Oryctolagus cuniculus: one gene and its partners. The main gene of each other region encodes a partner of the protein of the gene in region 3 in a complex. Links are inferred from orthologs where the notes say so. Each region holds a gene or a part of one and is shown on either strand. Other genes may lie near its edges. The genes, in order: SLMAP, STRN3 and SIKE1.

Region 1 (4,401 bases), on a different chromosome or scaffold from region 3:
GAGGTCTTGCATCAGCTGATTCACACCCCAAATGGCTACAATGGCCAGAACTGGGCCAATCTGAAACCAGGAGCCAGGAGCTTCTTCTGAGTCTCCCACACAGGTGCAGAGGCCTGTACTAACACCCTCACAAGAAATTATTTTGCAATGACTAAGAATAGCTCAGTAGTGAATGTTTAGCTGGGAACTGGATGACATGTTAAAATTTTGAATCTTCCACTGCTTTCCCAGGCCACCAGCAGGGAGCTCGATCAGAAGTAGAGCAGCCAGGACTCCAAATGGTGTCCATATGGGATGCCAGGCAGATGCTTAACCTACTACACCACAGTGCTGGCCACCTGTCATCTAATTTTAAGAATGTGGCCTCCTACAAGGGCCATCACCTAAGCAGGGCAATACTCAACTGCTACATCCCTGGGAAAATGAGTGGGAAAGAATATTAAAACCCACTTGTGGCAAACCTATAGGTTTAAGTACAATAAGATGATCCATAAAATTAGCATTGAAAAGTGATATCCTGGGAATGGCATTGTGGCACAGCAGGTTAATCTGCCCCATGCAATGATAGCATCCCATATGACCACCAGCTCAAGTTCTCATTGCTCCCCTTCCAATCCAGTTCCCTGATAATGCTCCTGGGAAAGCACCAGAAGAGAGTCCAAATATCTGGACCCCTACCACCCTAGTGAGAGACCTGATGAACCCCCTGCCTTCAGCCTGGCCCAGCCCTGATCACTGCTGCCATTTGGGGAGTGAACCAGCAGACAGACGACCTCTCGATCTACTCTCTCTCTGTAACCCTGTCTTTCAAATAAATAAATCTTTTTTAAAAAAAAGTCCTTAAAAATGAACAAACACATAAAAAAAGGCATAGCCTCATGTCCAGAGTTTCATTTTACCCAATAACGTCGGGGGGGGGGGGGGGTGAAAATGGTAGGAATAAGCCAAATCTACCCTTCAAAAATAAGTTTTTCTAAATAACAAGTTCCATTCAAAGTTTTAACATGTCATCCAATTCCCAGCTAAACATTCACTACTGATCTATTCTTAGTCACTGCAAAATAATTTCTTGTGAGGGTGTTAGTACAGGCATGGAGAACACCTTGCATGTAATCACTGTTTTTCAAGTAAGTTAAAAAAAAAGTCTCCTTTGATTGCTGAATGAATGAAAGTGAATTTATAGAGTATGTATCTATGTACTGAGAGCAAATCTGTTACCTAATTAGGTTGGACCTAACTGTTGCTGGGGGGCAGGGAGCAAAAGATGTAAAAGCTGGTTAAGGTACTAGTAACTAACCAATGTCTGAATTCAAAGACCAGAGTGATGAGCTTTATGAATATTCATTTTAAAAGAGTGTGTGTAAATTGTGAAGTCTTTGAGGCATCCAAACTTTAGCTTCCAGGGAGGTAAAAGGGTATGTTCCATACGTAAATAAGCATCTGGCATTATACAGAAAAATTAACATACTTTTCAGTCTACATCCTACACACCAGAGTAGGTTATAGGTATTATGCAAGCACACAGCACTTGGGCAATCTTTTCCTCCTTTCCTTAGAAAATAATTTATATAATAACTGTTTAATTGAGTCGCTGCAGAAGCAGCTTTGCTTCCTCTCTTGCTTTTGAGGTTCAGGCTTTTTTCACTTCAAAACACTAATCTTGAAAAAATTTTAATTCTTCTTTTAAGGAAGACTTCATCATTTATCTCAGAAAAGGGCAAAAAGTCAGGAGGCGAAACCTGAGCTATTCCTATTAGTCTTACATAACTTAAAGTTTAAATTAATTCAGTAGTTCAACTAAAACCTGTGGGTAAAGCAGAAAGATGAGCTCTTTCAGTATACTCTCCATACACACACAGTTTTTAAAACCTGAAAGACTTAGTATTTGCCTCCTGATTTCTTAATATATAAGCACACATCTATATAGTAATTTACATATCCACATAAAAATGCTAAAATTGTTACACTTAAAATGAATACCTCATTTGGGGAAGAATATAATTAACAGAATTGAACTTAATTTCAGAAAACAAATTAATTCCCTCATACTAATTTTTGAATGTCACCTCTGTAAGTATGCATTAAGTATTTAAAAAGTGCTGAAGGGAACATCAAAAAGTGATTTTTGAAAGCAACAGGTATATGTTAACTATTGCTTGTCACCTGGAAACAAAACTCTGAAACTGTGAAGTCAGTTGTCCGTGCTTTAATTGGCTTTGATTACTGCAAAGTACCACTTCAAGGGTAAATATCTATCAAAACTGTCAACAGCATTAGGTTCACACAAGCAATCCTCCTATCTAGAAAAGCCCTGATCTGAAATCCTCAGTAAAGCTGGCCACGGATCCCCTGCCTTGCTACGGGAACTGCAGCTTGCTTAATCAAGCGCCAAACTGCAAACCCACCTTCCTAAAAAGATGGCACAGCTAGTCCCAAGTCTCACTATTCAGTTTTGAGAAGCCCTGGGAACCACCACACTATCAAGATGCCATTGGCCTCCGAGGCATTTGATTACAATACCTTGTGTTTTCCATTCAACCACCTCTATTCAGTTTCCCCTAGAACCAGGCACACACAAAGTTGACTCCACCGCTTTGCTGAAAGCGATCTCTGGGGTGCAAACTCTGGGATCATGCATCCATCATGCATCCATGATGCCTCCAGGGGAGGGCAAAAGGAAAGGCAAAGCACAGGGTGTCAGACATTACCTTGCCGGTCTTGTGGTCGAACCAGACGAGAGCATGGTTCCTGGACAGCACTTTGCAGTCAAAGGTGGCATTATTCTGCGCCGGCCGGCAGCGGGCCACCGAGCGGCCGATTTTGATGGGCTCGTCCAGGTAGACATGACGCTCCTGAAACGGGTGCGAGTTCGGGCGGCAGGTGAAGATGGCCAAGGCTGACGGCATCGAGGACAGACTGGCGGTGTCTCTCCTACCAGGGACAACGAGGAGTTCCTCCAGATCCGGACTGCCCTTCACAAGCGTAGACCTCCCCCCTTATTCCCCACCCCACCCTCAAGTAATTTTTTGTTTTCAATTACAACAAACTGCGCATCGTCTAAGCATAACCAGGGCACATCAGCAGCTCCTCACTGGGGTGGGAAGGCAGCCCAGCGCAAGCCCCATGGCCTCCTTGGAAACCCAGCAGCGCCCCGATCGCAAACAGTCCCCCGCTGGCGGCTTTCAGTCCATCTTCCCTGGGAAGGAGAGGCTCAAACATCGGGCAGCTTCGGCCAAGAAAACTCCTGGAAGGCAGTTTTGGGGCTGGAGGTCTCCAAGCAGATGAGTCACACGGCGATTCCGGGGTTCTGTGTGCGATCGCGGCCGCGGTGCCCCCTCGCTGGCGGAAACGTTGCAGCACTGCAGCATGAAGGAAGGGTCCGTTCGGGGCGGCCGGCAAGGTCCTCCGGAGCCGAGGCCAGGGGCAGCCGCCGCCCGTCCGCAAGGGCCCCGGGGGAGCGGAGGCCGGCGAGGGGTCTAGGCGGCCCGCGGGACGGTCTTCATCGCCCCTGCTGCTGCTGCTGCTGCTGCACGGATGGCCCACCGGGTCCCCGGCCCCGCACGAGCTGGGGCGGCGGCGGCGGCGGCAGGGGTCGCCCGCGCCAGGCGTGGGGGCCGGCGGGGGCGCAGGCAGCGGCCGCGTCCGGACTCCCCGGCACCTGGCGGGCGTCTCCGCGACCAGGGGCGGGACCCGCTCCGCAGGCCGGTACGGACCGAGCGAGGCGCTACCCGGGCGCGGCGCGGGGCTCCCGGCTGGCGGGAAGTTGGTCCCTGGACGCCCGGGCTCCCCGGCCGCGGCTGCTCAGCACACCGGCCGCCTCCCCTCAGGGTCGTCCCCCCGAGGGTCGCATCTCAGGGACAGCAGCCGCAGAGCTCTCGGCGGACGGGGAGGTGGGGGTGGGGGGGTGGGGTGGGAGACTGGCCCGGAGGCTGAGGGAGAGGCCTGGAGGCCCCGGGCTGGGTCCGCCGCAGCCTCCACCACTCGCGGCCAGCGGGGCGAGCTCAGGCTGTGCCAGACGAGGCAGGAAACTTTCCGACCTGGTGGGGAAACATCAAAACAAACGGCCGTCAGGCGCTGGTGCCCGCCCGCCTCAGCCCTCGCCCCGCTCAGCCAACCCCCAGCTAGCCTCCGCCGCTGGCCACGACCTCGGCCGACCTCTCCGCAGACGGACTGCGGCGATTTGGGGCCGGGACGCTACGACGGCTCCTGCCTCCCTCGCCGCCGCCGCCGCCGTCGCCGTCTCAGCTTACCTTGCCAGCGCCGGCCGCCATAGTGACTCTGACTGAAACCTACCCGGTGCACCGCCACGGGAACGCGCACCCTTCAAGGGCCCTCCTACCCCCTCTCCCGCGCCGTAGCCCGGGGATGTCACGTGGACGACGCCGCGGAAGCCACATTTGT
Region 2 (3,650 bases), on a different chromosome or scaffold from region 3:
TTGTAAATATTTGGAGACATAGGCAGGTATTTCTGTGGGAGAGACTTCTAAGGCTGCTATTTGTTAGTCAACGTTTTAGAAATTTTTTCTTATCCACTTTGAAACCAAAGAATTTTTTTTCCTCCTCTGAGAAAGACAGAAAGAACTTCCATCTGCTGGTTACTTCCCAAATGCCCTCAATTAGCTAGCATGGGGCTGAATTTAGAAGATTCTATGGAGGCCTCCCACAAGGAGGGTATTAATTCTAACTCCCAGGGTCTTCATTAGGAGGAAGGTGGAGTCTGGGGCCAGGGCAGAGTGCAGATTGCAGATACTTCAATATAGTATACAGGTATCTGAACTTGTGTCTTAACTGCTAGGCTAAATTCCTGCTCCTTAAGAATTTTCTACCAAATAAAATGCTGTATGAGTTACACCCTTACTGTAACTATTTGTTTCCATCATCTTCCACTTAACATTGTTAATGCAACCTAATTCAACTTTAAAGTTTGTTACTTAGATTTTGTTTTCTTCTCCTTTTTGTAATTAGTACTGAAAGGGAAAAAAAAAAAAAAAACTGTGATCTTTTTACTTACCATATGTGTCATATGGATCCACATTGGGGCTAGGCATATTCCACCACTGGATGGTTGCATCAATACCTCCACTAAAACACTGTTCTCCATTAGAACTAATAGCTAATGATAGAACAGGGCCACTGTTAAAAAAGGGAGAAAATTACTTACAGATTCTAGGAAGAAACTCAAATGCCCATTCTCCTAACCTTTAAATTTATATGGCATCTAAAAATTGTTTTAGGTAAACATGTACATTTGAACAATACTATTATATTCATATTCTCATCAAATCAATTATCAAACAAGATATTCAACTAATGTATTTTATAACATAAAACAAATGTTGAAAAAAATTACAAGGTGTAAGGATTGATAACTAATAGCTAACAATAATTATAGCTGTTAATTAAGTACTATAGTTCAATAAAACTTACATGTGGGCCCTAAATGTGTAGATAGGCTCTACATCTAAAGAGGCACTCCTAGAAAATGGGGGAAAAGGGTGGGGAAGAGAAGACAATTAAGTAATTATAAATCACTGGTTATCAAAAGAATCATCAGGTAGATCAAATGTGTGCATAAAAGACATGAGACAGAAAAAAGAATAATTAACATATTAGCAAAATAAGTAGAAGAAAAAACAGACAAACATTAAAATACTTGCTTTTTGGCTGGAACTGTTTTTTGCAAGTTCCAAAGTTTCAAGGTATGGTCCTCAGAGGCAGTGACCAGCACAGGTTCTACAGGATGAAAAGCTAATGCCCGTACTCCATCAAAATGGCTACGCAGTGTATACTTGGGGTTCCATGTTTTTCGAAAGGCATCTTTATTGGCAGGCAACTAAAAAGAAAGAGTGGAATATTTAGTGGTAAAAGTTATAAATTGTTAGGCAAGTGGAACTTTTGTGTGTTTAAAACATATATTTAAAACTGTTTGGCAAAAATGTCCAGTGGAAAAGTAATGACCTCAAAAACTTTGTAACAAATCTTTATAGTTTAATAAGAACTCAGAAGAATTTCAATAGCCTTTCAAATACCAAGATCAAATGAAGAGTTCCATAACCTATCGACATAATTGTCAAGCTAAACACAAAGCTCCTATCATACATCAGATGAGAACAAAATAACTACCATTGCTGCAATATTTTACACAAATACAAAGTAAAATATATAAATTATTACCAAATATCCAAAGGTACAATAATTAAAAGTATAGTTGCCAATTAGGAAATTATTAGCATGTGAACTTTAATAAGGCAGCAAATTAAGGTACTTTCTAAATGTCTGAACTAAAGACCCTTTATGCATATTTTCATAATTCTTGATATTGTTGCAGGTTAATGTTTTTATTTTTCCATTTGTAAGGATAGTTTGTGAAATCAGTTTTAAAGTAGTGAAAATTTACAACTTCATTGCTTACACACTTTAAAAATATTATCAAGAATAATCCAGCCGAGCAAGGCTGATGACTCTAAAAGGCATGTTAACATAATTAAATGTAGTAAAATGAATTGCTATAAAAGGAAAAACATTGCTGAAAAACTCCAATTCATTAACATAAAATCTAAAATATAGTTAACTCTCAATTGATTGCTCAATGTCTAGAAAAAAAATTAATCCAAGACTAGTTTCACCTCTAACACTGTCTTTCCCATCTACTCCCATCCCGCTAATGAGAGTTAAGTGTTCAGAAAATGATGCAAGCTAACTTTAACAGTATCCTTAAGAAAATCTAAGATACATGCTTTTAGGTATCCTGAAGGTAAATAAGTTATTCAGATTATCTATTTTTCTTTCTTGTCAACACCATATAACATAATTTGAATAAATAATTGAGAGTTGACTACTCAGGAGGTATTTATAATCAATATTTTAAGACAATCATTCCAAACTCCTAGCCAATCCACCAAAATACCTAAGAAAAATTTAAACACCACAAAGAAAATACTTATAAAAGAAAAACTACATGTCACTTCAAATCAACACAATGACACACTTAAACTTGTCTTTTCCATGCACCTTGACATTAATTCTGTTTTATTAGTGATTCCAAAAAATAAGGAGCCTTCTATTAAATCATTAAAAAATTAAAAATAAAACTGCACTTACATCATAACTATAGTCTGCATCATTTGTTACCGTCAAGTCTGCAAGGTCTCCAAGGCCCAGTACACTTAACAAAACATCATCAGAACCCATAATAAATGACTTGCCTCCTCCAGATGGAAACGTTATTGGTTCAGCTATAAAGAACAAAACCGCTTCTTAAATGCTGAAAAATCATACAGTACAAGACAATATTGTGGGGGAAATTTAAGCACTTAACAGTTACAATATTCAGTAATATAATTAATTTCTAATTTCCCACTTCTACTCCAAAAATTCTATTACTGGGTAGTAATAAAGAAATGTTTCAGAACTACAATGTAGTTATCTCCCACTAATCAAATGTGCACTACATATATTACTCAATGGTGGGAAGCGAGGCACAAAAGCTTTACTTAAAAATTTCTTATTGTCTCAGTATAATTATAACTATAGTTCACATGTTAAATAATAGGACAAATTTTTATTTAATAAGTGTTAAATATCAGAATTCAGCTATTCATGGCAAACAAATCCCTACCATTGGCCTCAAAGTAGCTCATATAGTTTTTTTTTTTTTTAAGTAACAGGCTGTTGGTGAAATCAGTCTGCTTTCTCAAGATACACTAAGTATTCTAGTCTGTGATGAAAACATGAGCATTCATACATAATTGGTTTCCCAGTAGTCTGATATATGGTGTGTTAGTATACTGGAATGAAGCCTTAACTGCTAAGATTCTTCAAGTAACAGCAACAAGTCTAGGGGAAAAGCAGTTCTATCACCAACATCAATTTCCTGAAAGTCAGTTAAACCCATGTAATTTTCAAAATATCTTTTAGCTTTAAAGCTCTATCATTTTTATTTTAATGTCCTCTTTTATTTACCTTGACACTTCTAAAATGAAGTAACTCATGTATACTGAATAACTAATTAATTAAATTTCTGATCAAAATTATCTGCTCAATTATTGAATTTCAAACTAAATTCAAGTGAAAGCTTCATTTTTAC
Region 3 (3,104 bases):
CCCAGTTCTACACTTGGCTGGGAATGATGTAAGTTGAGAGGCCAGTAATTGGTGTTGTGTTCATTGAGTGCTTCATAGTTGTCATTATACAATCACATGTACTATTACTGAATCCTGGACAATAGATTGGAGCCTCACTAATTGCTGCAGTGGAAGATACAGTTCATCTCAGATCCTTTTGGATGCATTTTATTGATTTATTTTCATTTTATTTGAAAGGCAGAGACAGAAGGTCTCACATCCACTAATTTAATGCCCACAATAGCAGACCTGGGCCAAGCTGAAGCCAGAAACCTGGAACTCAGTCTGGATCTCCCATGTGCATGTGGGTGAAAGAGACCCAACTACCTGAGCTGTTCCTCTGCTGCCCCCAGGATGCACATTAGCAGGAAGCTGGACCAGAGGCCGAAGAGCTAGGACTTGAAACCAGGCACTCCGAAATGGGATGCAGGCATCCCATACAGCATCTTAACTGCTGTACTTGGATTCCCACCAAAGGGATATTTTAAATACTCGATTCCTTTCATATGAAAAATAAAAATAAATGTTATTTACTGTGGTTCAGAAGGAAAAATATGAACCTTCAGGGAGACAAAGTTTAGCTCATTCAGAAATACTTTCTAAGCAATATGACCGGATAAAGACACCTTGGTCTGTGGTAAGCTTCTTGCCAGTAAAAGTCTTCAAATTTAATTGAAAAATGGCCACCTGATGATATCGTCCAACATTTAGTTGTTCTTAGACTTTTGGATTCATGGGGCAGGCGTTTAGCCTGGCAGTTAAGATATCCTTGTCCCATGGAGTATTTGGGGTCTGTGTGCCTGCCTCCAGTTCCTGATTCCAGCTTCCTGCTAATGCAGACCGGGGGAGGCAGTGGTGATGGCTCAAGTAATTGGGATTTTGCCACCCACTTTGTATACCTGGATGGCATTCCTAGCTCCCAGCTTCAACCCAATCCAGTCCAAGCTGTTGCAGATACTGGGGAATGAACCAGCAAATCAGCGAGAAGTGTACTCCCTCTCTCTCTTTACCTCTAAAGTAAACAAATTTCCTTTTAAAAATTCTTTAAAATAAAAAAATTTTTTGTGAATGCCATAAGCTCACTCTATTATGACTTTACTTTCCATGACTCAGATTATAGTGTAACTACATTGTAACTTGTATAATATAGAAAAAATGAACTTTTAAAAATCATAATAATGTGTTCTCATGCACTTCATATCTGTAGAATGACTTTTTTCCCCCCTCTTAATTTCTCTACAGGAAATTGAGAGTCAGATTGACAGAATCTGTGAAATGGGAGAAGTGATGAGGAAAGCAGTTCAGGTAGATGATGACCAGTTCTGTAAGATTCAGGAAAAGCTAGCCCAATTAGAGGTAAGATTGCTGCCATTTTTAGTTCATGATATTTCACAGTTTTCATAGTCTGGAATATATGCCATCACTACCTTATCACTGTAATATATTGATATTTTCTGTTTTCTTACGACTTAAAACTCTTCATATCGTTTTAAGAAAGACAGTGTTGGCTGGCGCTATGGCTCAATAGGCTAATCCTCTGCCTGCGGCGCCGGCACACCGGGTTCTAGTCCCGGTCAGGGCACCGGATTCTGTCCCGGTTGTCCCTCTTCCAGGCCAGCTCTCTGCTGTGGCCTGGGAGTGTAGAGGAGGATGGCCCAACTTCTTGGGCCCTGCACCTGCATGGAGACCAGGAGAAGCACCTGGCTCCTGGCTTCGGATCAGCACCGTGTGCTGGCCGCAGCAGCCATTGGAGGGTGAACCAACGGCAAAGGAAGACCTTTCTCTCTCTCTCTCTCTCTCACTGTCCACTCTGCCTGTCCAAAAAAAAAAAAAAAAAAAAAGGCAGTGTTGTAATAAACAGCATTCTGTGAAACTACCAACCAAGAATTGCCTAGAGGTTGAGATACTATGAGAGTAGAGAAAGTGAAAGGAATAGGTTATATGAGCCAGTATTCCCCATCTGCCACAGGAGGAAGTCATATGAGTAATACCTAAAGTTGATGACTAGGAAATACAAGTGTAGGCAGATTATTTAGAATTAAGGAAGAAAAGACATAAAGTGGTACTGCTTTTAAGGAACAAAGCCAAGGAACTGCTATTTATTTTATCAGCCTCACATTCTTGATTTACAAAAAAGGGGGCAGAGTTAGAGAGGGGGAGAGAGAGAGAGAGAGAAGTCTCCCATCTGCTGGTTCACTCCCCAAATGGCCACAGTGGCTGGGGCTGGGCCAAGCCAAAGTCAAGAGCTTCTTGTGGGTCTCCAAGGACTTGGGCCATGTTCCACTTGTTTTCCCAGGTCATTAGCAAGGAACTGGATTGGAAGTGGAACAGCCAGAACTTAAACCAGCACCTATATGAGATGCCAGCACTGCAGGCGGAGGCTTAACCCGCTGCAACACCATGCCGGCCCCAAAGTCTTGATTTTTTAAAAGCTATTTTTGTGTAATATTTTTATTAAAATAGAAATATACAAAAAAGGCCTGGATTATTAGTGTACCCCATAAAAAAAATTGTTTTTTTGACAGGCAGAGTGGACAGTGAGAGAGAGAGACAGAGAGAAAGGTCTTGCTTTGCCATTGGTTCACCCTCCAATGGCCGCCGCAGCAGGCGCACCACACTGATCCGATGGCAGCAGCCAGGCGCTTCTCCTGGTCTCCCATGGGGTGCAGGGCCCAAGGACTTGGGCCATCCTCCACTGCACTCCCTGGCCACGGCAGAGAGCTGGCCTGGAAGAGGGGCAACCGGGACAGAATCCGGCGCCTCGACCGGGACTAGAACCTGGTGTGCCGTCGCCGCAAGGTGGAGGATTAGCCTAGTGAGCCGCGGCGCCGGCCTCCCATAAAAATATTAAGGAAAAACATTTTGGTAGGTGGTTTGTGTCCTACTTATTATAAGTTGTTATAATGGGCTTTTGAGAAAAACCAGAGAGCTGGACTGGCACAGTGGTGCAGTGGGTTAAGTCACTGCCTATGACACTGGCTATCTCTTTTGGGTACTGGTTCAAGTCTCGGCTGCTCCACTTCTCCTGCAGCTCCCTTCTAATGCACCTGATAAAGCTGCGAAAGGTGGCCCACGTACTTGTG

Evidence for each region.
Region 1: the proteins of SIKE1 (region 3) and SLMAP are in contact, whole or in part, in a crystal structure (PDB 6AKM), measured with the Homo sapiens proteins. The link is inferred for Oryctolagus cuniculus from reciprocal best matches to the Homo sapiens genes SIKE1 and SLMAP. Residues at the interface, in NP_079349.2 of Homo sapiens: Ile5, Ile8, Leu9, Ala12, Lys13, Leu16, Leu19, Arg20, His22, Asp23, Ala26, Glu27, Leu29, Val30, Ser33, Ala34, Leu36, His37, Val40, Met43, Arg44; in NP_001291349.1 of Homo sapiens: Leu168, Tyr171, Leu172, Glu174, Ala175, Arg178, Glu179, Met181, Leu182, Lys185, Thr188, Leu189, Leu192, Leu193, Ile195, Thr196, Ala199, Ser200, Thr202, Ser203.
Region 2: the proteins of SIKE1 (region 3) and STRN3 are in contact, whole or in part, in a crystal structure (PDB 6AKL), measured with the Homo sapiens proteins. The link is inferred for Oryctolagus cuniculus from reciprocal best matches to the Homo sapiens genes SIKE1 and STRN3. Residues at the interface, in NP_079349.2 of Homo sapiens: Glu96, His97, Ala100, Leu103, Ile104, Ser106, Lys107; in NP_001077362.1 of Homo sapiens: Arg176, Leu179, Tyr182, Leu183, Val186, Tyr188.

Annotation. Positions count from the first base shown.
Region 1 is NC_091441.1:92,185,012-92,189,412, forward strand, and holds the start of SLMAP (sarcolemmal membrane-associated protein), read right to left. Parts: upstream 2,907-4,401; coding exon 2,709-2,906; intron 1-2,708. UniProt on the Homo sapiens protein: Associates with the striatin-interacting phosphatase and kinase (STRIPAK) core complex, forming the extended (SIKE1:SLMAP)STRIPAK complex.
Region 2 is NC_091443.1:44,422,814-44,426,463, reverse strand, and holds part of STRN3 (striatin-3), read right to left. Parts: intron 2,800-3,650; coding exon 2,666-2,799; intron 1,398-2,665; coding exon 1,222-1,397; intron 1,040-1,221; coding exon 992-1,039; intron 698-991; coding exon 576-697; intron 1-575. UniProt on the Homo sapiens protein: Calmodulin-binding scaffolding protein which is the center of the striatin-interacting phosphatase and kinase (STRIPAK) complexes.
Region 3 is NC_091438.1:55,566,649-55,569,752, forward strand, and holds part of SIKE1 (suppressor of IKBKE 1), read left to right. Parts: intron 1-1,263; coding exon 1,264-1,377; intron 1,378-3,104.